Cricetulus griseus: one gene and its partners. The protein of the gene in region 2 purifies or fractionates together with the protein of the main gene of each other region. This does not show direct contact. Links are inferred from orthologs where the notes say so. Each region holds a gene or a part of one and is shown on either strand. Other genes may lie near its edges.

The links. Proteins that work in one complex are often made in the same cells at the same time.
Region 1: the proteins of Mapk1 (region 2) and Dusp4 purify together in Homo sapiens (affinity purification with mass spectrometry; 6 studies listed by BioGRID and IntAct, with this or other methods). This does not show direct contact. The link is inferred for Cricetulus griseus from reciprocal best matches to the Homo sapiens genes MAPK1 and DUSP4.
Region 3: the proteins of Mapk1 (region 2) and Dusp9 purify together in Homo sapiens (affinity purification with mass spectrometry; 5 studies listed by BioGRID and IntAct, with this or other methods). This does not show direct contact. The link is inferred for Cricetulus griseus from reciprocal best matches to the Homo sapiens genes MAPK1 and DUSP9.

What each region holds. Positions count from the first base shown.
Region 1 is NW_023276807.1:50,092,655-50,096,639, reverse strand, and holds the start of Dusp4 (dual specificity protein phosphatase 4), read left to right. Parts: upstream 1-1,181; 5' UTR 1,182-1,619; coding exon 1,620-2,052; intron 2,053-3,985. UniProt on the Homo sapiens protein: Regulates mitogenic signal transduction by dephosphorylating both Thr and Tyr residues on MAP kinases ERK1 and ERK2.
Region 2 is NC_048597.1:72,356,851-72,361,099, forward strand, and holds the start of Mapk1 (mitogen-activated protein kinase 1), read right to left. Parts: upstream 2,810-4,249; 5' UTR 2,595-2,809; coding exon 2,482-2,594; intron 1-2,481. UniProt on the Homo sapiens protein: Serine/threonine kinase which acts as an essential component of the MAP kinase signal transduction pathway. MAPK1/ERK2 and MAPK3/ERK1 are the 2 MAPKs which play an important role in the MAPK/ERK cascade.
Region 3 is NC_048604.1:2,101,935-2,105,809, reverse strand, and holds Dusp9 (dual specificity protein phosphatase 9), read left to right. Parts: upstream 1-1,368; coding exon 1,369-1,741; intron 1,742-2,278; coding exon 2,279-2,734; intron 2,735-3,045; coding exon 3,046-3,371; downstream 3,372-3,875. UniProt on the Homo sapiens protein: Inactivates MAP kinases. Has a specificity for the ERK family.

The sequences.
Region 1 (3,985 bases), on a different chromosome or scaffold from region 2:
ACCAAGGCCGCGAGCGAACCCCGTAATTCCCTCGTTCGGTGATTAATTCTTGCTAACAAGACTTGGCAAGATCGCGGCAGAATAATTTTTGGCTTCTGAAAGGTCTCCACCGTGTGCGTGCACAAACCTCCCCTCTTGCCAAAAAGCCCTTGGGAAATTAAATGCCTCTGGCAAAGTAAAACCCGGGTGCGGACACTACGTGACCTAGAAAGAGGGAATGCAGAAACTCGAATCGCCTCTGAGCTTATTAAATTCGTTCAAAAGATTAGTCTTCGCATGGACACTTTCCGGCACCTTCCTTAGCACCAAATGTGGACCCTAATAGTCATTTCCTGAGAGGACAGTTCGCGTGTGTCCGAGAGGGAGGACTTCCTGCGAAGAGGAAAACGTCGGGGTGTTCTCCCCTCCCCAACCACGTAAGCTTAGGCATACCATTCGGCTAATTAACGCCCCCCTCTGGGTTGTAAAGTAACAAACTCTACACTTCTCTTTTGTTACTGGGCTTTGGCGCGAGGATCTTCCCTTTCATCTTCTAAGCCAGGGTTTGCCCATGTTCCACGGGAAACTATAAAGCTGAAATAGGCCAGGGTGGAAATCGATCACGCTAATGTAAAAACCAACGTCTGGGGAATCGCATTAAAAACAAAACGAAGCACAACCGGCACGATCCCAAGAGCAAGGTTAAGTCCTGCGAGAGGAGGTCCCAAGCTCTGTGGGTGGCAGCCACACAGCGCCCGGGTCCACTGAGCTGCAAGGAGCCAGACCTAGAAGACTGGGCCGCGGGGGTGGGGGGGATATCGCAGAGGCGAAGACCTCCAGCAAGAGAGCCCAGGCCTTGGTTAGGCCGGCGTCGCCACCCGCTACCATCTCTGCGCTTCCGCCGCGCTCCGGCGCTATAGAAGGACAGGGAGACGCGCCGCAGCTCCATTCACAAAGTCCGGGAGCTGCCGGCTCGCGGGCGGGTCGGAGGCTGCCTCCTTTTTCCTCTAGGTCTCAGTTTTATGAATGGGCCTGGCAGCAAGCACCGAGCGCCCTGTTTACTCCTCTCTTTGTGACGTCGAGTTCCCGTGACTGGGTGCGAGGGGGCCGGCCCTCCATTCACGAGCTGGGGTGGGGGCGGGGCTGGGCGGGGAGCTCGCGCGGGGGGCGGGGCCTGGCGAGGTAGTAATGACTCTTCCCTCCCCCGGGAGAGCCGGCGAGCATTAATAAATCTCTAAGCCGAGGAGGTAACTCTGGCTGGGGTAGTGCGCGCAGCTCCGGCGGGGTGTTGCGTGGAACAGCGGCGCCCGAGCGGTTGGCGGCAGGAGCAGCAGAGCTAGCAAAACACATTAGAGGCAACAAACCGAGGGTAGCCCTCTCTCGTAAACACACTCCCCTCATCGGCTACTTTCCCCCGGGGACCGCGTGCCTGCCTGCTTTGGAACCGGAGAAGGCTCCGACTGCTATGTAACGTCGAGTCTGCGGGTCGAGGAAGGGGTACGGGGAGAAGAGACTGGGGCCAAGTTTGCGGCCACTTCGATAGGCGCCCTCTTAGCCCTAGCCTGCTCCTTTCTGTAGCCTAGTTGGCCCGGGTGCCCTTGGTCTTCTCCAGCTCCCCAGCTGCTGCAGTTCCCGGCGACATGGTGACGATGGAGGAACTGCGGGAGATGGACTGCAGCGTGCTCAAAAGGCTGATGAACCGAGATGAGAACGGCGGCGGCGCAGGCGGCAGCGGCAACCACGGCGCCCTGGGGCTGCTGAGCAGCGGCAAGTGCCTGCTGCTGGATTGCAGACCGTTCCTGGCTCACAGCGCAGGCTACATCCGAGGCTCGGTTAACGTGCGCTGCAACACCATCGTAAGGCGGAGGGCCAAGGGCTCAGTGAGCCTGGAGCAGATTCTGCCCGCCGAGGAAGAAGTGCGCGCCCGCCTGCGCTCTGGTCTCTACTCGGCCGTTATAGTCTACGACGAGCGCAGCCCGCGCGCCGAGAGCCTTCGCGAGGACAGCACCGTGTCGCTGGTCGTGCAAGCGCTGCGCCGTAACGCCGAGCGCACAGACATCTGTCTGCTTAAAGGTAAACGTGGGCGCCCGGGCGCGAGCTGATGGGTAGGTGTAAGGGACTTGGCGGCCTGCTGGGCATGGGAAGAAGTACTCGAGTGACTTCGGGCTGCGGGAGTCCCCGTGAGTGTCAGTGTGCACGGTCTTGCCGTGGTTTTGAGCCCAAGTCTGGGGCTGGGGGAGTGCTGGCGTGTTTCTCCAGCCACCTGCCACCCGCACGCTTCCTAGAGTTACGTGTTTATTGACAAGAACAGCCCTGGCCTGGATGCTGGCAGCAATTGCTCTGCGCAGGCCAGCTTCGAGTGCTGAGATCGCACTCTTAAATTAAGTCCCCCAGGGACAAGAGAGGCCTGTTGGTTCGGTGTGACCCCGAGAACCCTAGAGACGGGTGAAGGAAGGTGAACGCCGAGGTGGGATCTGCCTCGAGTGTTCGTACACAATCCTGCCTTTGGTAAATGCTGGAAGGAGAATTGGGTTGCAGAGCTGGGGAGCGTTCTAATCTGTCTCCCGCTGCCCCAACTTAGAGCTTTTCTGGAAGGCGGCCAACTCTCCCTGCCCTGGGGTCCTGGAGCGGGGAGACTGGAGTGCTGTATTGGGGGACACCAGGCAGAACCGCGTCTCCTCCCGCTAATCCTGGCAGCGGAGAATCACTACCTTTTGTTCACACACCATTCTCGACTCTCTGCTGGCGGCGCGTGCCTGGTTGAAGCGAACCCTGGCCTAAATAGGCGGCCGGAGAGAAGGTGGCTTCTCAAATGTAGAAGTCAGATACCTCCAAAAGATCGCACACTGTCCTAGTCCCTGGAGAAAGGGACCGATGGCTCGCCGCACCTGCCAACCCAGCGTCTGTGCGGGCCCTCCGGCTGCGGAACCCGCGGTGAGCGCGGGGGTCGGGCGCCCCCTGCCGCGCTGCGCCCTTAGCTCCGGCCGCCGCATTCCGCGCATTCTTTCGCGCGGGTCGGGTCTTCGCTTTTGAACCCGGGAGGTATTTCGGATCCCCGGCTGCCAAGAGCCGCCCCTTTCTCTGTGGAGGCGCTTGGTCCCTTTTATTACACTTTTATTCCAGGAACCTGTCCACCGGGAGGAAGGGAGGCTGGGTGAAAAACCCTTTTCTCCGATCCCCTCGGAAAAGCACTGGGAAGCTGCTGGGTGCGGGCGAGCGGGCCCTGCGCAACAGCGGGGGGCTTTGTTCTCTGCAGTTGTTTCCTGACCGTTTGACCCGTCAGCTGCTGGGGGAAACGCTGCTGTTGACCTGAGCCTGAACTGCTAAGGCGATTTTGCTTACTTTTCTTTCTTTTTTCACGAGGGCCGCCTTTTGCTTCTCCAGGGGAGTCCTAGTCTCTCGGGCTTTTCCCTAAATCGTTTTAGGAGCGACGGCCGGGAAGACTCGTCCCGGATCTCACGATCGCCCAGCGGTCAGAGACGAGCCCTACAGGGTACCCGGAGCCCCGGGTCAGGCTCAGGTCCCGTGTTCTTCTCTCGGAGGGGTCCTGCTTGGACCCCAAGCTGCACGTCTGTGCTATTGTTCCAGCCTGCCTGCTCTTCCCAGTCGAGATCGCGCGGGTGGGAAAGGTGACACTGTATTGGGGTGGAAGTTGGGGAACTCTCTCTGGCTGTCCTGGGTTCTTCAGCCCTTGGATTGAGAAAGCGGGGCTACACCTTCCTACTCTGGCTTCGGGAGAGTCTAACTAAGCCCCACGTGGAGTCAGGGATTGTTTTGTTTTCCTTCCTGGAAAAAAATCCGTAGGGGACCGCCCTGGAGAGGCTGCTGCTGGCCTTCGTCCTGAGCGCTTTAAGGCTTCCTTCCGGGCCGCAGGCTCCACGACCTGGCGCACTGGGAGGGTTAAATTTCATGGCTCGCAGCACTCTGCAGTCGCTGATTGGGATCCGGAGACCCGGAGGCCAGACCAGTTCTGAAAACGCTTCAGGGCAAATACTGACGTAAGAAG
Region 2 (4,249 bases):
AAGCTGAGCACCCACCACCCAATCTTATCTTTTTGTCTTCTACATAAGGAAGGGGAATCTAACCAAAATAGGCACAATTTCCAATGAACTACTTTAGGGAAAACCCTGCTAAAGGATAGCTGAAAATCCCTTAAACATTTTTTCATGGTTTTTAAAATTATTTTTTTAGTATGTTTATGTACATATGAGTTTTCTTTGAACCACATATGTGCAGATGCCCTTGGAAGTCAGAGGGTCACCTAATGTAGATGCTGGGATCTGAAGATGGTCTTGATTGTTAAGCCTAGCTTTTTAAAAGATCACAACTATTCAAGCAGGCATTTAAGGTCAAGATGTTCTCCATAAACCCAGCTAATGATCAAATGCTAATGACCTATAATTAAAAATATTCTACAAATACTAAGATGTTATCAACCTGGAGATAAAAGGATGGATCCAGGATTCAAATTCCAATTGTACCTGCATTTTTTATTTGTTTGTTTTTTTTTTTTGAGACAGAGTTTCTCTGTGTAGCTTTGGAGCCTGTCCTGGCACTCCCTTTGTAGACCAGGCTGGCCTGAACTCACAGAACACATGCCTCTGCCTCGCCTCCTGGGATTAGAGGTGTATGCCGCCACCACCACCTGGTCTACACTTTTCTTAAAATTAAAATTTGTATTTTTAAATTTAATTTATTTCACAAATATGGGTATTTCCCTCAAATTTGTGTCTAAGGAACATCTGATCCTCTAGAACTGGAGTTACTGACAGTTGTGAGCTTGCAGGTGGGTACTGGGACTAGAACCCAGAGCTGCAACTGCTCTTCACTGCTGAGTCATCTCCCCAGCCCCTAAAATTTGAATTTTAAAGAGAACTTTGCACAGCAGCTGTAAACTTCAAAGGTTAAGTAACTCCACAGCAGCAATAGCACCAGAATCTAAATAATCCATCTTATCAAACAGAGGTGGTTGTGGGGAGTCCAAATGACATATCCTCAATTTTTGTGCCTATTTAAAATAAGCTAGTTTTTAAAATAAATGAAACTATAACTGGCAATCTTCAGTATAATAAGAGAGTTACTGGCATGCAGGTACAAGAGCAGCAATATGTGCAAGACAGATGTGAAGGGGAAGTACTTTTTTAAGTACTCCTTTATAAGTCTTTAATTGTGACCTAATTTAATTTGTTTTGACTCCCAAGACCAGTTCACCTTTATCTTCATAGTTGTACACTGTGAGTCTTTTTAAAAAGAACGTTAATTATTCTATCTAGTTAAGACAGTTGGTGGAAAACACGTCTTTCCTACCATTTCTAAAATTATGACCATTCAAATTTGAATGCATTTCTGAAATAGACTTGCTCATCAGGAAAATATGCTAAAGTTCCAAGATTATTACTAACATTAAAGAAAGGCATGTGTAATGACTGAAGAGCTGCAGCATTTGAAACAGGATCTGTCTATAATCAGAGCCTGGTTCTAGTCCTTCGCCCTTGGGAAAGGACTTCCTTTCTATACCTTATCTGAAAGAGGGTATCTTTTTCCTCAAGATGGCTATCCAGACAAAATTAAACTATTCGGATAGCAGAGTATCTCAGAGACCTTCAATAAATTAGTTTTCTTCATTTAGCACAAAAGACACAAATTTAGGGGTAAGAAAACCTACTCCCACAAGTTTTCAGTACAAAACACAAATACTTGTTCCAGTAAAAACAACACACTTCATCATTCCACAATCAGGTGAGAAATCCTACAAGTGACCATGCAAAATTAGGTCTGAAAATACTCGATGGTAACGAAGGAGTTAAAGTCAAATTAGGCCCAATTCCAAATACATCTTAATAACTCTTTAAGAGTGATGCTAGCTTATCCTTCCTGCAACGCAACGATATTTACATCCATTTTGAAACTTCAAGATTTAAATATCCTCACAACCAACGCTGGTGTCATTAATGCTTTTTAGAAAGCCTAAGTTGGAACGCATCATTAGCTCCACTGAAGATATTTTGTGAAAGCTGTTCACGTATACACAAGGAAGGGAAGAAAAATATTTTGGTGTTCAGCACACAAGCCGAGGATTCTCGCTTGCAAAACCACGGCCGCCTCCACCACCACCGACAAGCCTGTGATGGAATTCCTGGTTTTACGATCTAATGTCAAAGAAGGCGGCTATAATGCCATAAATTAGGGGACACGGTGCACTTCCGTTCCCGTCCCAAGGGAGAAGACTCCAAAGTACGAGCTTGAGACCAAGTCCTCGGGTCCTGACCTCAGTGTGGGGTGCCCCTCCAACGGCAAACGAGGGGCAGCCCAGGAAGCACCCCAGCAACAACTAAGCCTCGACGGGCTCCGTGATTGTGGACCAAAGAGGAGTCAGGGGTCCAGGTCGCTGCAGAACGCGAGGCCAAGGCGCGGGAAGGGCCGCGGCTGCGTCCAGAACAGCCAGGGGCACAGGCAGGGGTGACCGGGTGAGGCCGAGCTTGCAAACCGGAGTAGACACTCACCAAACCATGCCGTAGGCGCCCTCTCCGATGTACGAGAGGTTGGTGTAGCGCGGCCCCACGTCGAACACCTGCCCGCGGACCATCTCCGGGCCCGCCGCCGCCGCCGCCGCCATGTTGGCTGCCTAGTCGCCGCCGCCGCGCTGGGCTCGACGCTTCGCGGCCGCCGCTCGGCTTGTGCAGCGCCTCCCGCAGGGACCGCGCTGCCACCCGTGTAGCCGCCGCCGCCCGCGACCGGGAACGCGGAACGAAGACAACACAGAGCAAAGAACTGACCGCCAGTGAACCACTGCCTGCCTTCCTGCCTGACGGGCGGGCAGCGAGCGGGAGGAGGGAGGGGCTGGCGTCGAGGGGCGCTGGGGCGGAGTCAAGGGCGTGAGCGCTGATTGGCTCCTCGCGGCGCTGGGCGGGGTCTCGAGGGCCGGCGGAAGCAGCGAACTGAGGCAGGAGCACTGCGGCTGCGGGGGAGGGCCGTCACGTGCGTTTGGAGAACCGGGCGTTCAGTTTGTTTGGTGGCTCTTGAAAGCCTGGTGGAAACCTGGGCGTAACGACCCCACAGTGTGTCCGACCGCTGTGCGGTGCCCAGGACGAACTCATGTGGAACCAGGCACTTGGCGTGAGACCGGAGGACTCAGCATACACCAAGCAATGGACCCCTGAGACAGGCCTCTGGGAATCCGTGGCCCTCACACTAATGAACTTAGACTGCCAAACTGGGACAGAAACCAAAAAGCATGACCCAGACTCAGAAAGATATTTTCACACCTAAAAAGTGTGAGACATAAGTGGAAACCAAAACACAAGGCATTGAATCCCCTAATTAGAGGTTTGTTCAAGAAGATTTGCTGAATACTTCTCCCTTCTAGGGTGAAGAGACAGACAAATACGATGCTCACTTAACTAAGTGCTGTGAACAATTAAAAACTGGAGGGAAGGTTTACAGAGTTGTGGGTGAGGACGCTGGAGAAAGACTGAAATCCAGGGACTGGACCCAGGTGTTGTGTAACCGTTTCCTGCGAGATTGAAACATTCTATCCTGCAGAGAAACTCCTTAAACAGGAAAGTAAACGGCACAAAGGAACTTTGGGAGTCCTTGAAACTGACCAGATTCACCGGGTTACTCCTTGCTGGAGTAAGCAATAAAAGTTGAGAATCCCTGTTCGATGAACTCCACGGAGCTGCAAAGAAGACTCAGCCAAACTGCTTAGAAGAAGCAGAAATCAGCCTCCTGCCTCCTGCCTGGAAGAGGTCTAGACCAACTTAAATAGCTGGAGGACACTCTTCAACTTTGCTGGTATCCATACTCATCTGTAGTGACTAGGTGTGTATTGTGTCTTCTCAAGAAGTGTTTTGTCACACAACACCAGCTTGGTACAGATGAGCAGAAACCCAGATGGGCGTACTGAAATATAGCACAGTTAGAATGGCTGAAACATCTGAACAAGTTGTGGGTCAGAACCAGTCAGAAACACGAATGAACCCGAAGAAAATTGTAATCTTAAAGTAGGTGGGTGCCAAGGAGAGCAATGGTAAGATAGTGAATGACACAGTTTGTCTCTCAGGCATTACTACCCTGTCGTCCCTGGACGCAGACTCCTCTGTGGCCAGCAAATGAGATCTTAGACATCAATAAAGATCTTAAAGGCAATCTTAAAGATAAAAAAAAGGTAAATGTTTAAAAATAAAGAGAGGAACTGGAGGTGTCCCTCAGTAGAGTGCATGCTTAGCCTGTAGCAGGTCTTTGATTCTTTTTGCAACACTAAAGGAACAA
Region 3 (3,875 bases), on a different chromosome or scaffold from region 2:
GAGTTTAATAGAGTTGGGTGCTCAGAATTCCTGGGTACCTGTAGCCAGGCCTGTACAAATGAAGCCCAGATGAGAATAAGGAACACAGGAGCTGCCTTGTGCCTTCAGTATTTCGGTGGCATTTCACAGCCAAATTGGATGGCTCTGGATAGCCCATTATACAGATGGGGGCCATCTAGTTCCAGACAAAGGCTAATAGTTAAGGGTTATTAAGTGAGTTGTTTGAGGCAGTTTCTGGTTCTGGGGTGCTGGGCTTTTGTCCCCACCCCTCTTCCTGATTCCAGGGACCAGACTGGCGCCGAGCAGGGGCAACTGCCACTGGTCCCCTGCTGGGCCCCCGACCTGCCCTTGGCCTCTGCCCCGACCCAGTCCCGCCTGGGTGGAAGCCCTAGCTCAGCTTGCTGCTTGCAACTCCCACCCGGCTGTTCGTTCTCACTGGTTGGCTGGCCTGGCCTGTATGCCCGCCCCGCCACCCCACCGCCCCCCCCCCCCTCCGAGCAGCTACTAAGTCGGTCCGAAGGCTGCGCGGCTCCCAAGGTGGAAGCTGGATCCGGCTGCCAGGAAGCGGCCAGCGCACGAGTGGCGCGAGGCTTGGCTTCCACGTGCGAGCCTGATCCGCCACCCCGCCCTCTCCGAGCGCCCAAACCTGGGGACTCCCTCTCCAGGGACGATACCTGCGCCCTGCCCTGGCACTAGCTGTGGCCAGGACGTCCACGCGCGGCCGCCTGCCTCTGGATCTGGCTCCAGGTCTCTCCTTTTGTTCTCTCCTGGGGTGGGGAGGAGTGGGGCCGAGTCAGCTCTTACAGGACTCGCCTAGGCCCATCACCTCGGTGACCCTCTTGTTTTCTGGTTCTTCCTGGCCTTGGAGAAGATTCAGGCCTTGAACCCAATTTCTCCACACACCCCAAGTCGAACTTGGGGAGTGATGGAGATCGGGGCGAGTGAGAAAGTCAGAAAACGGGTGTGGAGGGAACTGGATTTAGTCCTCCTAGAATCCCCCCCCCCCCAAAAAAAGAAAGTCTTCATTCAAGAGGCCGCTAGACTTTCTCCTTCTGGGGTATGTCTTACACAAACTCCATCTAAGCGGGACAGGGAGCAACACCCCAGTGGCGGCGGCCTCGGGTGTTTTTCCTGGGGCGCCTTCCTTGGTTTTCTCACTGTGGGTGGAGCGCAAGGAGAGAAGCAGGCGGTGGAGGAATGTCCCTGCAGGGACACTGGGCGCCTGCCCTCAGGACAGGGCCTGACTTCCCGTCTCAGTAGCCTGGTCCACACTGCGAGAGTAGAGACAAACCTTCCCTCACTCTGCGCCTTAGGTCTCTCCACAGCACACACTGCCCGACGGACAGAAGTGCAGAACGCTGCGCACCCATGGAGAGTCTGGGTCGTTCGTGCCTGTGGCTGCGGCAGGAGCTGTCGCCCCCGCGCCCACAGCTTCTACTGCTCGACTGCCGGAGCCGGGAGCTGTACGAGTCAGCGCGCATCTGCGGGGCGCTGAGCGTGGTCCTGCCTGCCCTGATGCTGCGCCGCCTGCGGAGAGGGAGCCTGTCCGTACGCTCACTCTTGCCTGGGCCACCGCTGCAGCCTCCCCCACCCGCCCCTGTGCTCCTATACGACCAGGGTAGTGGCCGATCCAGGCATGGAGAAGCAGAGGCCGAAGCCCCAGAGTGGGAAGCTGACTCGGTGCTGGGCATTCTGCTCCAGAAGCTGCGGGAAGAAGGCTACCTGTCCTACTACCTACAGGGTACGTGAGGTGCAGTGGGCTGAGAGAGGGCACAGGGAACCTGTGATGGCCTCAGGTCAGGAGACGGTCCTGCCTTCCAAGGGGGATTTCATAATTATTTTATCCTTGGGCAAACCCCATCGCATTTTGTCTAAAATGTAGGTTAATATAATACTTGCTCCCAGTAACCTACCAGACAGCTTTTGGGAAGGCAGACCTAAGTGTGACCTTGGGCAAATCCTTCATCCGTCCAAGCCCATTTATAAATCTGGAAAATAGGGAGAATTGACCTGAAACAACATAGTTCACAGGATGTTCCCTAGAGCAAGCGGCTGCACCATACAGAGAGACAGCCACAAGTGCTAAGTGAGAGATGGCTGTCCATAGTATGCACCACACGTGGCTCTCCAGTAAAGATTAAACTGCTGGTTTGTGTGTTCCCTTCGGCAATATCTGCAACCCACCTAGGTTGTTAGGGTCACCTCCCTAGCCTCAGCTAGGGATTCCTGGCTGCCCAGCTGGCTATAATAGCAAGAGCACCTCTTTCTTTCCTGACAGGTGGTTTCAGCAAATTCCAGGCCGAGTGTCCTCACCTTTGTGAAACCAGCTTCAGTGGTTGTGCTGGATCAAGCCTGGCCGCATTGCCTAGCCCAGTGCCTGTGGTGGGGCTAGGTGGCCTGTGCTTGGGCTCTGATACCTCTGATGCAGAGTCTGAGGCCGACCGTGACTCCATGAGCTGTGGCCTAGATTCGGAGAGTACCACATCCCCTCCAGCTGGGCTGCTACCACCGTTCCCAGTCCAGATCCTGCCCAATCTCTACCTAGGCAGTGCCCGAGATTCAGCCAACTTAGAGAGCCTAGCCAAGCTTGGCATCCGCTATATTCTCAATGTCACCCCCAACCTACCTAACCTCTTTGAGAAGAATGGTGACTTCCACTACAAGCAAATCCCCATCTCTGACCACTGGAGCCAGAATCTGTCCCAGTTCTTTCCAGAGGCCATTGCATTCATTGGTGAGTTCTCCCTATCCTCCCTGTCTTCTCTTTCCACCTGTCCCCACCTACTAGACTGACTCCTGGTCTGTCCTGCTCCTTACCCTCTCCTGTAAAGGAGTTTTTGCCTAGTTTAGCTACCCTCACCCAGAGCAGACAAGGCACTTGGGGAAGTGGGAGTAGAGCTCAGGTCAGCTGCCAGTAAAACCTCCCAGATAAGGGCTAGGTGGGGTGGAGAGACTGTGATGATATCCCCCAAAATTCACTGGGCTTTGGCCTCATTCATGCTGATCCTTGCCTTGTGGGGGGATGTTTCTGTCTGCTCTACCTAGATGAGGCCTTGTCCCAGAACTGTGGGGTGCTCGTCCACTGCCTGGCAGGAGTCAGCCGCTCTGTCACTGTCACCGTGGCCTACCTCATGCAGAAGCTCCACCTCTCACTCAATGATGCCTACGACTTGGTCAAGCGGAAGAAGTCTAACATCTCGCCCAACTTCAACTTCATGGGCCAGCTGCTAGACTTTGAGCGAAGCCTGCGCCTGGAGGAGAGGCGCTCTGGGGGACAGGGCAGTGGGGGACCAGAGTCCACTGTCTCAGACCCACCTTCTTTCTTTACTACCCCTACCAGCGATGGGGTCTTTGAGCTGGACCCCACATAAAGCCATGTGGAGTTGCTGGGCTGGTCCCTACCTATGACCCATGTATTAGCAGGGATGGGATGCAGCCATAATGGGGGGGGGAGCTCAATACCTCAAGCGGGGGTGGTGCAGCAAAGCAGGAACACAGCAGAGACCTGCCCTACCCCAGTTCTATTACACGTGCCTATGGGTGGGTCCATGGATACAGACCTGACTCGCACCACTTTAGGGCAGGACCATGCTCCAGGACCATGCCTCTTCTGTGACTGTTACTTTATTCTTTCGGGGTGGGAGTGGGGCTTCCTATCCAAGAGACCATTCCAGACTGCTGCCTGGTGCCTGGGCTCTGTCCCTTGCCATTTCCTCTTCAGGAAGATTATATCACACTTTGCCACAGGGACTTGCTCTTAGTTCCTTCCCTGTCCCCAAATGGCCACTTGTGGGAAAAGGTCTCACAGCTTTCACTGGTGTAGTCTCCTTCCTGCCTCTCTGGCTAGCGCTTAGACCTCTTGTGGCTCTGGGATA